Drosophila melanogaster: one gene and its partners. The protein of the gene in region 4 interacts with the protein of the main gene of each other region in a pairwise test. Each region holds a gene or a part of one and is shown on either strand. Other genes may lie near its edges.

Region 1 (6,491 bases), 2.5 Mb from region 4:
GACTTCTATTCGGACATGCAAATGCGATTGGAGAGCAAGGATGTGGACATTGATGTGCTGGAACGGGATCTAAAGGCCAATACGGATGCGGTCATTCGCCAGGTGTCCACCGAAATCCGGAAACAGTTCAATTTGGAGCAGCTTAAGGCGGCCAAGGCCCAAATGCCTGCGAAGGCGACAAAGGCTACATAGTAATGATTGCCATTACAAACAGATGGACTGGCACATTCCCTTCACAAAGCAACCAAATATTTTTGGTCACAAAATAGCTTGTACGATTAATCTGTTCTTAATTAGTATTTAGGTATGTGTGCAAGAGACGTGTGCGAGTGTGTGTGTGTGTGTGTATAGGATAAGTTTTCAGGTATAGTTTTATCAGGCTTTATACACGGAAATGTTCGAAAGGAGGAGGTTCTTTCGATGCATAATACAGCATCGTTATGTCACTTTAATTAATAATATCTTTTAATGAATATTTAAACAACGACTTTTTCACATTCGATAAGAAATAAGCTTTGAATTGTATTCAACTAAGAACTCTTTTGTTTATTTCTGTTTTCAGACAGCTTATTTTTATATTTGTTATATTATGTTTTATATTTGTCCAAAACCTCCTACCTCGAATTTCCCAAAAAAATATCATTAAGATCGCGTATTTATATTTACCACTAGTTTTACATTCAGTTATGTTATCTTAATGCAAAAAAAAAAGGAAATCTACAAAAATAACAACAGCCATTATCCAATCGAAGAACTGCAGGTTCCCGAGAGGAGTTTCTTTGGTGGATTACCATCGGATTGGTTGGGTTTTTAAGGCCTCCAACAGACTGGAAAGACTGGCAAAAGAATGGGGATTGTCAGCGTTGCTCACAAGCAAACCGCTCCAGCCGCAATTCCGGGCACCTTCATAGTCCATATCCAACTTGTTGCCAATGTGAAGGGCCTGCTCCGCTGGAATTTGCAATCTCTGCAGCGGAATTTCGAAGATACCGCGTTCGGGCTTCATAACACCGGCTTCGTAGGAAGTCAGAATGAAATCGAATTTGCCGGCAAAGCCCATGGCGTCCAGGACTTGTGGCAGTGACGAATCGAAATTGGAGATGATGCCCACACATTTGCCGGCATTTCGGACGTTCTGCACCAACTCCTGGGCACCATTCACGTGACTCCAACAGGCGCTGGTCCGAAAAACGGAAATTAGCCGCTGGCCGATCTTCTCCAGCTTCTCGGGCGCCAGACCGTGGTCCACGCAGCTAAAGGTTCGAGCCACCAGCTGAAGCCACCAACGCTGCCAATCCAATCCCGGCGAGTAACGGCCAAAGTTTGGATGTTCGCTGCTCATCGCCTTGAATTGCTGGCGAAAGCATTGTTCCAATCGGCGGCGATCCACTCCGGTGACCCCGAACTCCTCTGCCGTCTGATGGTACTGGCGAAGGGGATCCTCCAGGCGAAGCAGCGTGTCCGTTACATCGAAGGTCACCAGGCGAAAGCGTTTCAAATTCGCAACAAATTGCGAAGTCAACGACATTTTGGCCAACAGTGTGGTATTGTTTGTCCACTAGATATTACGTATATGCATTTGGTATATTTTAATTTTCGAAAAACCTCCAAAAACACATTTGCTTAGTTGAGAATCGTTTATTGAATTAAATGAAGATGCTTTTCTTCATTTTAAAGTTACAGATTTTCTACTTGTATGAAGAGTTTATTTTTTTTTTTGAATACAAACAATTATTTGGAAATGCCGCAAAAATACATTGCCTAAATTCTGGTATTTTTCGCAACAACTGTACTGTGTGTATTTGTCGGCATATATTTGCTGCCCGCCGGCGGGCACACTAAGCCAAACGAAAATAATTTTGTTACAAAAAAAATCAACAAATCGTATTGTTAAATGGCCGTGCGAACACGAACGACCATAAATCCGCCGCAGCGCTCGATTTCAAATCAAATCCTCGAGGCAGTCGGTAGTTAATAATACCGCAGAGCGGCCAGATCGGGGGATATCTACCATCCATATCCGTGTATCCTCCAACTAGAGATCGGAGCAAATAGTGGAGGAGATCCCGAATAGATCCGGAGTTACGTGATTCCCGGCGACACGGATACGATTCTGGCTGGGATTGGGCTATTGGAATTGGTGTACTGCTAACGGCGGATCATCGATGCAACAATGAATGTTCACAAGCGGCCACGTCTGAATATGGAATTCGGCTCCTCCACCAGCAATACCAACACTTCCACATCCCCGTCCTCCGTAAATATCAGCAATGCGAATCCAACAGCTGGACCTGGCCTCATGACCATTACCAATCACCACACCGCTGATTTGTCAGAGGCCCTGGTCCACAGTTCCTTTGCCAATGGTCAGCAAAGTCTGATTCTCACCAGCGACACGGGAAATCCGCTGATGAATAGCCAAGGTGCTCAGATATTTCTCACCATTTGCGGAGACGAGAACTCGGACGATTCGCAGGAGTACTATACGATTAAACAGGAACCGGGATGTGATCTAGATATCCATTCGCTGCTGCCTAGCAATTTGCAGCTGCCCAACAATCTGCAGCTGCCCACTGGCTGTGAGATATATTTGGTCAAGGAAACCGGCAGCTTAATGGGTGAGCCGCCGACGAAGGCGGCCATCAAGCTGGAACTAGATACGCTAAGCGAAAAGCCGCTCCTTCCATCTGTTACAACTTCCTCCAGCACACAGTCCGCGGTAATAACCGCCCAGACCGTGAATCCTCCCATTCCAGGTAACATCAACACCACCACCAGCACCACTAGCACCACCACCACCACCAGTGTCCTGTATGGCTCCCATGGCAATGGTCATGGCCATGGCCATGCTCACGCCCAAGCCCGATCCCAGCCAGAATCAGCTGGCCAAACACCATCCAGCAAACTGGAGGCGTACAAGAAACGCGATGATAAACGTCGTGCCACGCACAACGAGGTCGAACGCCGGCGCCGCGACAAGATCAACAGCTGGATCTTCAAGCTCAAGGAGATGCTGCCCAGTCTGAGCTCCAGCTCCAGTTTCAGCGAGGCCAGCACGAGTCCCAGCACCAGCGGAAGTACGAGTACCAACGGAAGTAGCCATTCCAAAGGCAATGCCAGCAGTTCCAGCGGACGAGCGCCGCCCAATGACTCCAAATCGCAGATCCTGATCAAGGCATGCGAGTACATCAAGAGCATGCAGGGCGAGATTGACACGTGAGTGGAGACGGGTTTGTAGGGGGGAAACCACTGAATCAGAAATCCACAAATATTGTCCGCTATAAGTTGCTGTACTACAGTTATATATACAGCTATATAACTTTTTTGACTTGTTAATGGTCTTAAAAAATGAGTTTGCTTATAGATCTTAATCAACTCCATTCGCTCAATTGAGCTTACATCATGTATCGATCGCATACGGTTAGGAATAAAGTTACCCAAAGGGCGGACACTTGATCTTTCCCACTTTTTCCGTAGAAATGCGTACTTAAAGTGCTGATATAGGGCTGGTGTTATCTTTTTGCAAAACAAAATCCCCATTTTGGAGCGGTTCTTTTTCGCCACTATCTCGTGCAATATGAGCTGGACTCTCGAATGTCCCTGTGTCACTCAAGTCTTGAACACAACACTCTCTCACACTGATCGAATGCGGTTTCCACCCAAACAAAACCCAACAAAATCATACAAAGCCAATCAAACACCTGATCCACCGATTCACCGATCACCAAACATAAACAAACCAATTACTCAACTTTGTCTATCCCCACCAATAAACAGGCTGCGCGACTGTCTAAGGGAGACGGATAGCCTAAGGGCCAGCAACCAGGCGCTGCGCGAGGAACTTGATCGCCTGAAGCGTCAGCAGCAGCTCCAGGAACGCTTCCACACGGCCGGCGGAAGATCGACGTTTAATGTTACCCTAAATTCGCTGAACAGTTCCGCGACCAGTGATCTATTCGAGGGAATCGATACGACACCCAATCTGGCCGCCGTCTCGTCGCTGGGATTCGGCAAGCGTGGCCTGCTGATCAGCGATTTTGATGAGTAAACAAAATCTGCCTGCGAAATAGGAGTGGATAGACAAAAAAAAAAAAAAAAAAAATAGAAATGAAAAACATATGGGTGGACCGATTGGGTTGCTGGTTACGGGAATAAACAAATATGGAGGCGGCGGATGGACAAGCCCTGGCGCCTTCAACAAACATATACGCCCATCCACCAAAGAATGACGTGCAACGTACACGCAACGCAACACACGCAGTACAATAAACGGACATGACGAGTGATTCCTTGTTATCGCCGCTCTGTTATATGTTATATAAGAAAAGCAGCATATATTACATATGTGTATCGATATGTGTATATGGTTATGTATATGGCTATGTATATGCATGTACATATATGCAGTCGAACTTGGGTGACTCAAGCCAAGTTGTTGGCCTAACCGCTTTGACAAAAAGCTGTTCTCAATTGAGTTTAATTAACGAGCCACGGCACAACACAGCTGCTTTTGTATGTTATATGTATCTGTTATTGGTATTATTCCTAACCAACCCCCCCCTCCAAAAAGTGAGCGCCCAAAAAGAAAAAAAACAAATCATGAAAATAACGATCGAACGAATTTTTGTACCACCCCCATGCCGCGATCATTATCATATTTTGTTTAGAGTCTTGGAATATTAGATCACAAACAAATATTGTTGATAAGAAGCTTTAAAGCACGTTCTGTTCTTCCATGTTTTTTTTTTTCGTATTACATTATGTTTAAGATATACGTAGGTATAGTTGTTTTGATTTGCGCAGCGAATCTAGAACTATAACTTAGCCATGTTTCAAACAAACTCTTTGTGTTCATTCAAGAGAATTCACTATGTATTCACTTTCAACAAGAGATTGTTGTATTTAAATCGAAATATGTTTTTCAAAAATATCAATATTGAAATATTAGCAAAGTACAGCGCAAGATAAGTATAAGTATAAGTAATTTCTTGCTGAAAGTGAAAGTGGAAACTGAAGTGGTTAACAAAGTTTTCGATTTGTTGTTATACAGGAAATTAGTTGTAAGTCTGAAGTTTGAGTAACAAAAGTTCGATTGCACAGATGTGAAATGATTTATGTTCTCGGATCCTCAAGCGGTTTGCCATCATTATATACAAACGTACATACATACCTATGAATTACCCAGAAATACAAGCCTAGAAAAAATCTAAAAGCGTTAACGATACCTACCTATTGCATATATACCTTTAACTAAATCATATTTGGAGCATGTTTGTGCTTGATTTTTCGATTTTATTGTACTGTTTCTCGGCACTAATTACCTACAAAAAAAAAAAAAATGTAACGAAAATATACTATATCTAGTTATATCGTATATATATTATATATATATATAAATATATATGGTCTATATATATATATAGAGAGAGAGAGAGAGAAAGAGCGAGAGGCAAGTGTACATACGTAGTGCAGTCGGTAGAACAGTGGGAATTCGAGCGAGATGCGGCTATATAATGCCGCACTGCTCGCCGGGGGCGTGTGCACCGTTACAGATAAAATGCTATTGTTGATAAAGAATAATATTATATTATATTATATTTGAGCATAATGTTGTTGTGAATGTTATATCACTGTTTTCGATATACGACGCTGTTTCAGAAGTATAAGTATACAGAACAGAAGTGTTTTAAATACGATTCATTTGTAATAATGAAAATGCCAAAAAAAAAAGCAAAAAAAAAAAAAAAGAAATCAAACACACCAACCACACCAAAATACAAACACACTAAGATTCAGGATTTTAAGATATAAGATGGGGTACTGGGAATTGGATTATTTAACCCATGGCCGAAAACGAAATGGGATCTTGTGTTACTTGTTGCTATCTATATGCAGTACATTACAATAATATCACATTTCTGTCATTTGACAGCTAATAATTCTATTCAATTTCAATAAACGAACTCAGTAATGGTTAACACACACAATCAATTTCTCATTCAATGGAATTGTTGGCATGCGGGCATTGATTCTTTAGAAGAATATGGTGGTTTGTTCGCACAGCTGGCTTTCCATGATTCCATAAGTTCATATGTTCATATGTACATATGTACATATGTACATATGTATCAGCAAAAAAGCTGATCTCTTTATTGTAATATATTTTAAGGATTACATAGTGCTTAGATACATTGTGTTTACACAATCAGTCGCCTAGCGTAGTCGCCTACATGGAGTAGTCCGTGTTCCACTGATGCAATGTGCAGATTGGCTCCGTTCATATAGTGCACATTAATGTGGGGATTTTGGAGTTCAGAGATTAAAGTGGAACAGGCTGCTGCTGGATCCCCAGTGCTGATTAGCATATTCTGTAGGGAAATAAGCATTACAAATTGTAAACCTTAGTAGAGTCACTTCTTGCATACCGCCCAAAATTCGTTGCCAGGCAGGGCATTTCCATCCCAGGCGTATGTCACCACGGGCAACATGTC
Region 2 (4,001 bases), on a different chromosome or scaffold from region 4:
ATCCATTGCTCCATTAAGTGACTTATTTTAATCTTAGTATGCAGGCAAAGGAATAATTAATTATTATATAATTATATTAATTGCCGTTCTCTTATAATAAATTAAATTTTTTCTATGGCACAACAATTATTTGTTAATAATTACAGGAAATATCTACTAAATAGACGTTTAAATTGGTTTTATTTAAACCTTTCACGTAAATGTGAAGGCGTTGTGGTAATTAAAAATATTTAAATATTAAGAAAAAAACAGAAAAATGTGGTTTCCTATTGTCTTGTAAAGCCAACAAATAATTATTTTGAAACATTGGCTTACTGCAAATTCCCGTGGGAATTTTGCTGTCTAAACAATTTAAAAAGGATTCTTCTTTATTTAAAGCTTAATAACTTGGAAAGAGAACCAAAAGTTGGCCCGTGAAGGGCTCAACAATGTCGGAGTCAAGCCATAATTTTTCGTGAACATGTTGGCCAGCCACGCCCATGTCCTCGACGGCAAATCCCTGCCACAGAGGATGTCAGAAGTCAAGATCGAAAACAAGTGAAAGTTGCAACAAGCCATTCTGTTTGAGGTCTGCGTTTAATTTTTTTTATGGGGACACTGTAGCCAGTGAGTCGAATTCGAACAGGACCTCTTTCCTTGACCAAATAACGAACTTTGGCTGGAAGGTCGGGAACATCTGCGCCACAAGTTGCGAGCCCAACCAAGCCACCGAACTTTATTGAATAGAAATTCGGTTTCGTTTCCAGAAACTTCATATTTCTGTACGTTATTGTTCCTTCCCCCGCATGAGATACTTTTGCTGTCTGGCGGCGATTTGGTTTCCAAATGTTAACCCTACCCTGTCTTCTCAACTTATCCAGAAAAGGGTGAAGCCAAGCACCACGAAGCCACAAACTTAAATAAGTAATTTTGGGATACAATTTTTTTTTTGTAATTTTCTAAACACAAAGTAATTATTTTTAAATACAAGAAATGGTTCAAAAGGAATGAAAAAGTGTTTCAGTTTCAAAGACCCACAGCCAGAGGCAAAATACTTGGCACCAATTGGCGCTGCAAGGCGTGTTCAAATTCATTAGACATTTGCAAACTGCATATTTGTCATGTGTCCCAAATGCGGGGCATTTCGACCCGTGGATGCAGTTGTCCCAGTGGATATCTGGATATTTTGGTCGTGGTAACCAAACCACTCGAACCAGCTGGACCCGCAACACGGAGTGCTACAAAATGGCCTGATTTATGGCCCCGGATGCCGTGCTGACATTTGGTTCCCGGCCAGCACCTTCCGACGCATTCGATGGCATTCACGTGCCAGCGGACTACTAAAGTCGAAATCACTGGCTCTGTACAATTGTCGATTTCTGTTTAAGTTTGTGGACACAAAATGCAGCTCTTAATATCCTTGTAATAGGTGACTTTAGGCCAAGACTATAAACAAGAATAATACCATCTTAAACTAAACTTGTAAAAGTCTTAAAATCCATAAATATAAATATAAAATGCCAAAATTAAAAAATATTTCAATCTTTTTTAACGCTCCTTACTTTATAATTTGTTTTTCTCATTTCAGAATTTTTTCTGCACAAAGTGGCGCCATCTTCTTTGAGCGAAAGCTTTCAAAGCTTTCAACCTTTGGATAAATGGCTTTGATTGTAAAACAATGAAATAGTTTTAAAAACAAATTTAAGTAATTCGTCATCTTACCTTATTTTTTGTAATATAGTTATACAAATATGTATTACAATATGTCTTAAAATTTAATATCGAAATCTTGGCGAATATTTACTGGCGTTTTATAGGTATCTACATTGTTGTAAGCATCAGTTGCTCGCAATAAATATATTTTACTTAATATATTATTTTAGTCATTAAATAATTTTTCTGTTGTTTTAAATTAATATTTCTCTCTCACGTTCCACTGTACTGTTAATAGAACTTTTAGAGCGATGTTCGTTGTCGTTTTCTTATGAACCGGTTCATCGAAGTGCTCCATCGTTCAAATTGACAGACGTCAAAATCTTCACGTGTGCACAATTTTAAAGTCACTCGGTGTAGTTAGGAAGAAATAAAATTCGAGAATGTCTGCTCCACTTGCAAATCCCCCAACAGACGACGAGCGTGTGAGGGCGCTGACCAATTACCGTACCAAGCTTCTGGAGCACCGCGAGATCGAATCCAAATTGAAAGCTTTGCGAGACAAGTACAAGGTCGTGAATGCCGAGTACGAAAAGTCCGAGGACGATCTGAAGGCTCTCCAGAGTGTGGGTCAGATGGTCGGGGAAATCCTGAAGCAGCTCACACCGGACAACTTCATCGTGAAGGCCTCGAACGGACCGCGCTACGTGGTCGGATGTCGCCGGCAGATTAACAAGGAGAAGCTAAAGCCCGGCACACGTGTCGCCCTGGATGTGACCACTCTCACCATCATGCGCTATTTGCCGCGGGAAGTGGATCCCCTGGTGTACAACATGACCCATGAAGATCCCGGAAACGTAAACTACGCTGAAATCGGTGGACTTGGTCAGCAAATCCGCGAGCTTCGCGAGGTCATTGAACTGCCGCTACTAAATCCAGATATTTTCCTACGCGTTGGCATAAGTCCGCCCAAGGGATGCCTGCTCTACGGACCGCCTGGCACCGGAAAAACTCTCCTGGCCCGCGCCATCGCCTCCCAGATGGACGCCAATTTCTTGAAGGTCAGTGTTTCACATCTGCAATAGATATTATAAATAAATATTTAAATTTGTTTCTAAAAAACTCACCCGAAGGTCGTTTCCTCTGCAATTGTGGACAAGTACATTGGCGAGAGTGCCCGACTGATCCGGGAGATGTTTGCATACGCCCGTGATCATCAGCCATGTATCATATTCATGGACGAGATCGACGCAATCGGTGGTCGCCGCTTCTCGGAGGGAACATCCGCCGACCGAGAGATCCAGCGCACGCTGATGGAACTGCTTAACCAGATGGATGGATTCGATGCTCTTGGCCAGGTGAAAATGATCATGGCCACCAATCGTCCGGATACACTGGATCCGGCGCTGCTGCGTCCTGGACGACTTGATCGCAAATTGGAAATTCCGCTGCCCAACGAAGTGGCGCGTATGGACATTCTTAAGATTCACGCCGAACCACTGAACAAACGCGGCGAAATCGACTATGAGGCGGTGGTTAAGCTCTCCGATTTGTTCAATGGTGCCGATCTACGGAACATTTGCACGGAAGCCGGGCTTTTTGCCCTCCGCTGCGATAGGGAGTTTGTCATTCAAGAAGATTTCATGAAGGCCGTCCGCAAAATAGCGGACAATAAGAAGCTGGAGTCTCGTCTGGACTACAAGCCTATATAGAAAGCTCAGGAGGCCAATAGGTGTTAACAACTGTATATATTGGCACATACATTTAACCTTAACACCCTAAAAAAGAATATTATGATGATTAAAGATATATAATTTTCTAACTTAATCCTAATTGATGAAAAGATTCAAATTTTGATATTAGAGGGATGCGTTTCGAACCCAATAAAGTAATATATGTTCCTGACCAGAAACACTAGGCAAACGAACGCTATGGTCTCTGTAATTTCTGATTAATGGATATCCGAAAGTTCAAAATTTCATGTATGTACACTGATATTGGTTTTTTATTTGCAATTAATTAATACTTTACGAACAGCTGGCAAATGCCTAGCAGTTAAGAGGAACAAGCTCCGTAAACTAAGTGAGTTGAGCTGCAGTTTTGCGTGACAACGTCGAAATACTTATCCTCACAGCTTATGGGAGTCGTTTCCCGGCCATCGACGCATTCGATGTAGTGGTGGCATCCATCGATTTCGGCCACTTCGAAGCCATCCTTGCGCCCATCACATCTATCGTAATCGCATTTCTGGCTCTCGCGCGGCATGCACGCCTGTCGCTCCTGGTTGAAGAAGTTGTTCTCGTCACACTGCTGGTATATGGGATCGGTATCGGGGATACCGGATCCCAAATCGCGGCAGTAGTAATATC
Region 3 (4,583 bases), on a different chromosome or scaffold from region 4:
GCAGATCATCGAGCAGCTGACCACGCCCACGGCAGCAAAGGGAGCTGTGGGAACCCGGAACCTGAGCGACAACCTATCAGATCTGAAGGCTCAGATCGCCGCCAACCACAAGGGCATCCAGCTGGTGGCGGAGCTGATCGGCAGCTATGGATTAGATGTGGTCCAGGCCTACATGTCGCACATCCAAAAGAACGCCGAACTGGCGGTTCGGGATATGTTGCGTCAGATTGGCCGGGATACTTTGGAGCGCACTGGATCGACAGTGCTAGAGGCGAAGGAGTTCATGGACGACGGATCACCCATCGCCCTTAAGGTGACCATCGATGCGGAGCAGGGTTCGGCTCTTTGTGACTTCACCGGATCGGGAGTGGAAGTGTGGGGCAACTGTAATGCTCCGCGGGCTATTACCTTGTCCGCCCTAATCTACTGCCTGCGCTGCATGGTGGGCCATGATGTGCCACTCAACCAGGGCTGCCTGGCACCCATCCAGGTGATCATTCCGAAAAACTCCATCCTGGATCCCTCAGAGGGAGCAGCTGTGGTCGGCGGCAATGTGCAGACATCGCAGCGCATCGTAGACACGGTTCTGAAGGCTTTCGGAGTTTGTGCCGCCTCGCAAGGATGCATGAACAATATAACTATTGGGGATGAGTCTTGGGGTTACTATGAGACTGTGGCCGGAGGAGCTGGTGCTGGGCCCGGCTGGCATGGAGCCGGCGGAGTGCATACCCACATGACGAACACTCGCATCACTGATCCGGAGATCCTTGAACTGCGCTATCCCATGATCCTGAAGAGATTCTGCCTTCGCACCGATGGCTCCGGCGGAAGAGGTCAGTTCCACGGAGGCGAGGGTGTGGAGCGGGATCTCCTCTTCCGCAAGCCAGTTACCCTGTCCGTCCTGACAGAGAGACGAACTCTGCAGCCCTACGGTCTCGCAGGTGGAGAATCCGGGAAGAGTGGACGCAATTTGGTGGTGAAACGGGATGGTCGAGTGATCGCTCTGGCAGGCAAAACCTGCATTGATGTGGAAGCTGGGGTATACTTTGATATGCATTTATTTGTAACTCAACTAACTACTTATCCATCCTTTTCAGGACACCTTTGCCATGAAAACTCCCGGCGGGGGTGGGTATGGACCAATTGAAGACTTTTCCAAGTCCGGTGAATCCTTGAATCAGGAAACCAGCAAACGATACGTGGAACGAGGAACTGTCTTTAATTATCTTCAGTGCCAGGAGTCTGCCTAAGCAAATTTTTGATTTCGCTTTTATATGTGCCATATTAATAAATGTCCCTTGACTTTTGAAACACTGAGTTATTTTTTTAAAAGACCTTATCAAACAAACAAACTGAGTGGCGCATATTACAGCGAGCTGTGGAAAATTGCATATAAAATGTTCAGTTAATATTCAATTAATTTTTATTTAATGAAGATTCTATAAAGTTAAATTGTTTCGAAGACCATTTAAAAAAGTGCGCCATTTCGGAACGATATGCTGTACTATCGATATTTTCAAGCGAACATATGTTTTCAGTAAGTGCAATCGCCGACTGTCTATCGATAACAGTGCGTAAATATGTTTCGCACGTGTTGCATTTGAAAGAAAATTGTCCGTAAACAAAAGAGTTTTTTCCGTAAATTAAGCAGTCGAGTGTAAACTGTAGAAACATGGCATCTTTAGCGGAAAAAACGAAGGACACCAATACCTTTCGGGTGAGTGTCCCCAGAAGTCTCGAGTTGTTTGGTGACCAACCGCCTTACACGTTTTTCACCCGCAGTTCAAATCTTTCGGAGATCGGGTGAATGAAATCGACCTGCGGCACTTGGCCCTCTACCACATCGGCCATCGGAACGAGGAGCTCGACGAAGAGGAGAATGCCACCTACTTCCAGCAGACGATTCAGAAATGGAACGTGCTCAATCTCTCCGAGGAGTACAACTACTTCAGCAAGCGCTGTCGCAAGATAGTCACCCTGCCGCAGCTGCTGCACCAGAAGGATTTTGTTGTAGACTTGCTCCTGGAACGTCTTTCCACCGCCACGAATTTGTCCCAACAGCCGCTGTTGGAACTGCTCTATGTCCTGGCCAAGGATCTCCGTGAGGAGTTCTACCCGTACTTCCAGCGAGTCCTGGACCGACTTATCTGCCTGCTGAACACCCAAGACTCCGAGCAACTGGAATGGACGCTCATCTGCCTGGCGCATTTGTTCAAGACGCTCAAGCCTTATTTGAAGCGCAACATAGGTGTTGTCTTCAATGCAATTCTACCGCTTCTGGATGAACAGCACTATGCCGAGCATGTGACCAACTTTGCGGTAGAATGCTTTGCCTACATTGCTCGTGATGTCCGTGATTTCCCGCGTTTCCTGACCTATGTGCTGAAGACTGTGTTGCGTGAGCAGGTGGAGAGTGTCCACGGCTGCGGACGACTCATCTACGAAATTCTGCGCGGCGTCAACGGACAGCTGCACAACTCGGCGGCCGAAATCTTTGCCCACGTCCTGGAGGTGCTTGTCAACAAGGATTCCGCTCACACCAAAGACCAAACAGAACTTTTGGGAGATATCGTGGAGTATTCTTTGGGTCTGCTGCTCAACTTTCTGCGCTCAGACCAAAGCAACATTCTGTGGCAGAAACTCTGTTCGGCTGCGAGCAGTGAAAGCGTGGATGAACAAAGGGTTATCGACTTAATGCTTCCCCTGGTCACCCACAAGGATGGGCGATATGTCTCCGAGCTTCCGCTGGTAGTTGGCACTCTGCTAAAGCTTTTGGACCGGGAACTGGATCCTCTTCAGCCCTTAACAACATTGGTGACCAGTCTGTTGAAGGCTCAGCACACTCAACTATCCCAGTTGGATGCCAGCCGTCTGCTGCAAAAGCTGTTAAGCATAAGTCGAAAACAAGTGACCGTGTACGAAGACGCCATTCTGCAGCTTCTGGACTATTCACAGTTTGAGATTCTGGTTCTCCCCAACGTTATTGGGTACTTTGAAGAACAGAGGCAATTAAGAGCGCGGGAGTTGCTGGCTCGCATCGTTCTGCACAAACGGCCGCTAAAAGTTGATGGTAACTCACTGGCCCAATGGGTGGCATATCCTCTCCAGTTAAAACAAAAGGACACCATTAAATTAGTGGAACAAGAACTTCTGCACCTAGACCTGACCAAAGAGGAACATCTACTTTTAATCATCCTAGTTCCCCATTTGAGGGGTTTTAACAAGCAGCCATTAGAACAAGGATTGCAATCAGTTATTGAAAAGCTCATATGCGATAACGGAAAGGATTTTACACAACTGCTCCTGCTACTTCAAACTCACGCACTGCTCAAATTTAACTTACCTAAGAGTTTGCGATCTTCTCTTAATGGTTACCTTATTCCTGAACTGGGAAAGGACATTCGAGCTTTGGCTTGCTTGCAAGTGGTTCTTTTACAAGGCCCCAAGAACGAGCTATCCACTTCAGATGAATTACTTTTCGGAATTGGAGGTCTTCTAAGCCAGCCTGTATCGCTATACAGACGCATAGCTGCCCACTGTTTGGATGTGCTTAACTCCTCGAGCAAACCAAATCCGTATTCCCATTTTAATGCCGCCGCCTGCATCGAGCCCACTGTCCACAATTACCGCGAGCTACTCCTCCAACTGCAGCAATTGGAGCCGGCATCTGCTCAGTTCAAACAGTTCTCCCAGTTGCCACATTTCAAGGAGCACGCCGTTAGCCTCTTACTTGGCCTTTTATACAACAATTTCAAGTTTGTGTGGGCTCCGGTTCAACAGCTCCTGGCTGCCTACGTCAAGACCATGACAGTGGATGAGTTCTGGACATTATTTAAGGCCAAGTTAGTCGATACTGTTGCCTGCATAGACTACAAGAAGGAAGTTACAACATTGCAAGTGCCATATCAAAGGGACTACCAATCGGCAGCACTAACCATGCTCCTGACTTTGCCTGGGGAGCAACAATTGACCCTTCAGCAGGCCCTCAACTACCGCCAGCTTCTATGGCAAAGCGTGCCCAAATTGGGCACACTTGCTGAGGTAAAGAATGCTGATTTGGTGCGATTGTTTCTGCAGTTTGTGGATAACGAATATCGCGCACAATTGGAGAAATCGGAGCATACTTGGAATGTGAACGAGGCGACGGGTAAGTTAATTAAATGAATATCCATTATCCATCAGTTTTTCAAAGCTGTTCACTCTACTTTAGCTGCGGATATTGACGTTGAGGAGGATGATGAAAATGAAAACAATGAAACCAAACCCGAGCCCCGAGGCCGTCAAAAGAGGAGAACCCAAAATGCCCACACAAAGTTTATTCTGCAAACGCTTCAGTTAAAACTTGCCTGTTTCGTATCCCAGCCCAACCCCAAGGCTTTGCATCGTCAGGCGGAGATGCATGACTTTTATCTGGAGCTTCTAGCCGGCCCTAACTCCCAGTTACAACAATTGGCTTTGGATTGCCTTGCGGCCTACAAGCAACCAGCAGCTCTGGTGCAACAAAAGGCTCAGTTATCGGGGCTTATTGATGAAGAAAAATTCAAAACAACGCTCAGTGGTTTCGAACTGTCGAGCATTACGGC
Region 4 (4,309 bases):
GACAAAGCATCCCACGGAGGACGAGGTGGCCGCCAGGGAGGGCGGCGCCGGAGAGCGCCATTTCTGCGACATTTGTCAAAAGGAGTTCCATTCACGATACACCCTCAAGTACCACACTTTGCAGCAGCACGAGGTGCAGGAAGAGTTGCCCCACGAATGCCAGGTCTGTGGACGCCGGATGGCCAAGAAGTTCATGCTGCTGCAGCACATGCTGATGCACTCGAACGACAAGTTGCCCTGCGAGCACTGCGGCAGAAGATTTGCCAGGCGATTCGAGCTCGAAGCCCATGTGAGAGCAGTCCACTTAAAGCTGAAACCCTTTCCCTGTCACCACTGTCCGGAGAGCTTTGCTTCTAGGAAAACCCTGCGGCACCATGAGTACATACACACGGGTGAGAAGCCCTACATTTGCGACACCTGTGGACAGGCCTTCCGGCAGCAGACGTGTCTTAAAAACCACCGGAAGGTGCACGAGAAGTAGTCTTAGCTAGCCTTAGTGGAAAAGATTTTAAAATAGACTGATTAAGTGGAAACGTGGCGTCTTTTGAATGTTCTGGAACAGGTAACGCTCTTCGTAGGACATGAAGGTGCTATGCCAACAACCCTTTCCTCAACAAACAGCAGGCATTCACTTAAATAGCTTTAGTCACCAATAACTTGTCTAGTACACAGTGTTATGCAGATTCCGGTGGCTTTGCGGTGGGATCCACCTGTGTGCTGTGTTGCTCCTGTTCGATGTAGACGCGCAAGTCCTCCAGAGGCTTATAGTAAAGGTGAACAGCCTGCGATCCGGCCATCATGGATGCCAGGGCACAGCCGAGGAATTTCAGGTACTGGCCCCAGGAAACTCCGGCGGGCATTTTGCTTAGTTGGTGTTATTCGCGGCTCGCGCCTGCAGATGCTGCTGCTCTTCCACGTAGTTCTTCGCCTGGCGGCGCTTAAAAGTGCGGTCTGCATGGAAAAGATTCCGTATTAGTAAATAAAAGTAAGGTTTTAAGCGTAGCAGTCTCACAGAAATTGGTCTCGCCCACTGTCCAATTGATCATGGAGAATTCCAGGCCGGCGCCCAGTAAAAAGAAGAGCGGCAGGAAGCGGTAGACACCGAAGCGCTTCTTTCCTGGCCAACTGTCCAGCAGACGACGCACGGATCCGCTGTACGGACTCATGTGTTTTCAGCCGGCGGTTATATAATTCCGTGTTGGTTTCGCCAATTTTAAGGCGAGATTCAAAGGTGCCGTGTTTGTGTATTGCCTCCGTCACATGTGTGCGTTAGTTCTGTATATGGTTTAATTGAAAATGTTTAGGCTTGTTCCTTTGTTTATTTATTATTTGCCAAAAGTAAAGGGGAAACTCCACTTGCCTCACGATACAATTTCCATTTGTTCCGGTTCGCAGCAATCAGCTGTTCGATTAGAGATGAGCGAGTGAGCTAGTGATGAGCTGATGTGATGACAACACAACGTTAGTAAATAAATTCATAAGTTAACTATGTATAAGGCCCCTTAAATAAATGTTCGTTTATTTCAGCCTATCTTAATTTCAATTTAATGAAATTATTTAACAGTTACTGAAGCGCTTCGGGAGCATGGTAGTAGAACACCTTCACGCTGTCATCGCTAATGATTCATCCCTGAAAAAAAAACATAGCTTAAACTAGCAAGCAATTTAGGTCGAATTATGATACACAGTCTGTTTATTGTAAACAGCGGCGGGTAAGCCATACCTATAAGTGAAATGTGAAGACGATGTAATACCCATATACCCATATATCCGCATTTCAGCGAGGTCTTCCTGGAAAAGCATTGGCGCTCGGTTGTCTCGAGATCTGTGTGCGAATACTTCCTTGACGCCCAGCGCGCTGCTCCATATGTGAGTCGCCCGTGCCACGTATGGGTTGTATGCTGACCATATCTCTTTGTTGCAGGATGTGCCGCCGGTGATAGCCACGCCCCACTACTACCTGATTACAGTGCAAAGGGACACGGTGTCTTTGGTCGCCGCCTGCAAGCAGGAGGTGCCGCCGCTCTTTGTCATCGAGTTCCTGCATCGCGTGGTGGACACCTTCCAGGACTATTTCGGCGACTGCTCCGAGTCCGTGATCAAGGACAACTATGTGGTCGTTTACGAGCTGCTGGACGAGATGCTCGATAATGGCTTCCCACTGGCCACCGAGAGCAACATCCTCAAGGAGCTGATCAAGCCGCCCAATATCCTGCGCACCATTGCCAACACGGTGACGGGCAAGAGCAAGTAAGTTGAATGATGCTCCCTCCGTCTTTGTCTTTCATTTACCTTAATAATCCAATTAATAATCCGATTTCCGAAGTGTAAGCACTACTTTGCCCTCGGGTCAGCTGTCGGCGGTTCGCTGGCGCAGAAGCGGCGTGAGGTACACCAACAACGAGGCGTACTTCGATGTCATCGAGGAGGTGGACGCTATCATTGATAAATCCGGATCCACGGTCTTTGCCGAGATCCAGGGACACGTAAGTTTCACTTAAGTCTATAAAAATAATTTCTATCTCTTTTATTTTTTTATCAGATCGACTGCTGCATTAAGTTATCCGGCATGCCAGATCTGACGTTATCTTTCATGAATCCTCGCCTCTTCGACGACGTTTCCTTCCATCCTTGCGTGCGCTACAAGCGCTGGGAGGCGGAGCGCCTGCTCTCCTTTATCCCGCCCGACGGAAACTTCCGCCTGATGTCATATCACATTAGCTCTCAGTCCGTGGTGGCCATACCCATCTACATCAGGCACAACTTTTCGATCAAAACGGGTGAGCAGGGGCGTCTGGACCTCACGATTGGCCCGAGGAACACCCTTGGTCGCACCGTTGACAAGGTGAAGCTGGAGCTGACCATGCCGCGGTGTGTGCTTAATTGCCTATTGACGCCGAATCAGGGAAAGTATACCTTCGATTCGGTGACCAAGACGCTGTCCTGGGATGTGGGACGGATCGATGTTTCCAAGTTGCCAAATATTAGGGGATCGGTAAGAATAACTATTGAGACCCTTTACACTTTTACACGATTCATGTATCTAACGTCTTAAATTATTTATATTTTTATCCCATTAATAATATACTGTCCTTGCACGCCTAGGTTTCCATTACGCCCGGTACGACCAACATCGATGCCAATCCATCCGTGAATGTCCAGTTCCAAATCTCGCAGCTGGCCGTCTCTGGGCTAAAGGTAAATCGCCTGGACATGTACGGCGAGAAGTACAAGCCTTTCAAGGGCGTCAAATACCTGACCAAGGCGGGCAAGTTCCAGGTGCGGATGTAGACAAAATCATCATCCGGATTCCAATTCCAGCTTTAATTAATAGCTAACGTTAAGTGTATTCCGCTTGTTTTTTTTTTTTTCATTTGATGTTCTAGCCCTCGTCTCTCTCCCTGTGTATCTCATTTATGTATCTATATCTCTACCCATAAAATATTAACTTCAAGTGTAGTCGCCTTGTCGTTGTTCTTGGACGCCGTCGCCATATTCGAAGAGTAAGAATGCGAGAATTGATTGGGAATGAAGTTGCAAGTCTTCGAGTGGCGTGGCTTGGCATGGCATCGCATGGCAATGGCACCGTCGACTGCACTGCACTCCAAGTCAAGTCACTCCACTCGATCGCAGTGCGCCTGGCAACAGCCAGCGAGGAAACCAATAAATTCAAATGAAAATGCAAAACTTGATTTTGCAGCCAGGCCAACGCATTTAGCATACGAATAGTGTGTATACATCTTGTTTATCAATGTGTGTGAACAATGCGAAGAAGTAGAGACTCGCTAACGTACATTTCTAGGCAAGAGTGCTGAAAAGTGAAAGACTGATCAAATTATCGAGTTGTGACATTACACTATACCCCACGCATTTTGTTAAGAAGAAACCCAAATTCAATTTCTATTTGACTCTTCAATGAGTTTTTCGTTAAATCCCTATTAGAATCAGTTTTTTTTTAATGCAATTAACAAGCACACGAGGTTTCACTGTGTTGCCTCGTTATCTCCTTCTACAAGCTTAGCTGCATTTTTGCCTCTGGCCGAGACCGGTAACCGGTTTGCCCTGCCACGCCCCCGATGCATGCCTTGGACCGCCCCCCTTGACCCATGGCAGCCGCAAGCAGCAACAGCTTCTAGGCTTTTGGGCGCGGCGTGCAACGGTAGCCAACAAGCGCCACCGAAAGGCGACGTCGACCATGGCTAGACATGTTATACACACACACACACACACACAGAGAGAGCCAGCTCTTGAACGGGCACAAAATGTTTGGGGCTCGGACCCCAAACGGGTTGAGAAAATAACTCAGATT

The links.
Region 1: the proteins of cm (region 4) and Usf interact in a two-hybrid assay, tested with the Drosophila melanogaster proteins (one large-scale study listed by BioGRID).
Region 2: the proteins of cm (region 4) and Rpt4R interact in a two-hybrid assay, tested with the Drosophila melanogaster proteins (one large-scale study listed by BioGRID).
Region 3: the proteins of cm (region 4) and CG4554 interact in a two-hybrid assay, tested with the Drosophila melanogaster proteins (one large-scale study listed by BioGRID).

What each region holds. Positions count from the first base shown.
Region 1 is NC_004354.4:4,544,111-4,550,601, reverse strand, and holds Usf (Usf), read left to right. Parts: upstream 1-1,807; 5' UTR 1,808-2,173; coding exon 2,174-3,216; intron 3,217-3,777; coding exon 3,778-4,048; 3' UTR 4,049-5,985; downstream 5,986-6,491. Other genes in the region: CG11436 (uncharacterized protein), read left to right, coding at 1-192; CG15912 (uncharacterized protein), read right to left, coding at 788-1,528; CG3568 (uncharacterized protein), read right to left, coding at 6,198-6,368, 6,426-6,491.
Region 2 is NT_037436.4:11,940,029-11,944,029, forward strand, and holds Rpt4R (regulatory particle triple-A ATPase 4-related), read left to right. Parts: upstream 1-1,883; 5' UTR 1,884-2,075; coding exon 2,076-2,693; intron 2,694-2,765; coding exon 2,766-3,344; 3' UTR 3,345-3,457; downstream 3,458-4,001. Other genes in the region: CG5883 (uncharacterized protein), read right to left, coding at 3,688-4,001.
Region 3 is NT_033778.4:22,481,747-22,486,329, forward strand, and holds the start of CG4554 (uncharacterized protein), read left to right. Parts: upstream 1-1,556; 5' UTR 1,557-1,672; coding exon 1,673-1,717; intron 1,718-1,782; coding exon 1,783-4,147; intron 4,148-4,210; coding exon 4,211-4,583. Other genes in the region: CG4752 (uncharacterized protein), read left to right, coding at 1-1,039, 1,098-1,250.
Region 4 is NC_004354.4:7,008,460-7,012,768, reverse strand, and holds cm (carmine), read left to right. Parts: upstream 1-1,623; 5' UTR 1,624-1,677; coding exon 1,678-1,712; intron 1,713-1,781; coding exon 1,782-1,869; intron 1,870-1,924; coding exon 1,925-2,250; intron 2,251-2,326; coding exon 2,327-2,486; intron 2,487-2,542; coding exon 2,543-2,995; intron 2,996-3,105; coding exon 3,106-3,291; 3' UTR 3,292-3,763; downstream 3,764-4,309. Other genes in the region: CG3032 (uncharacterized protein), read left to right, coding at 1-481; sloth2 (sloth 2), read right to left, coding at 675-860; sloth1 (sloth 1), read right to left, coding at 866-951, 1,013-1,166.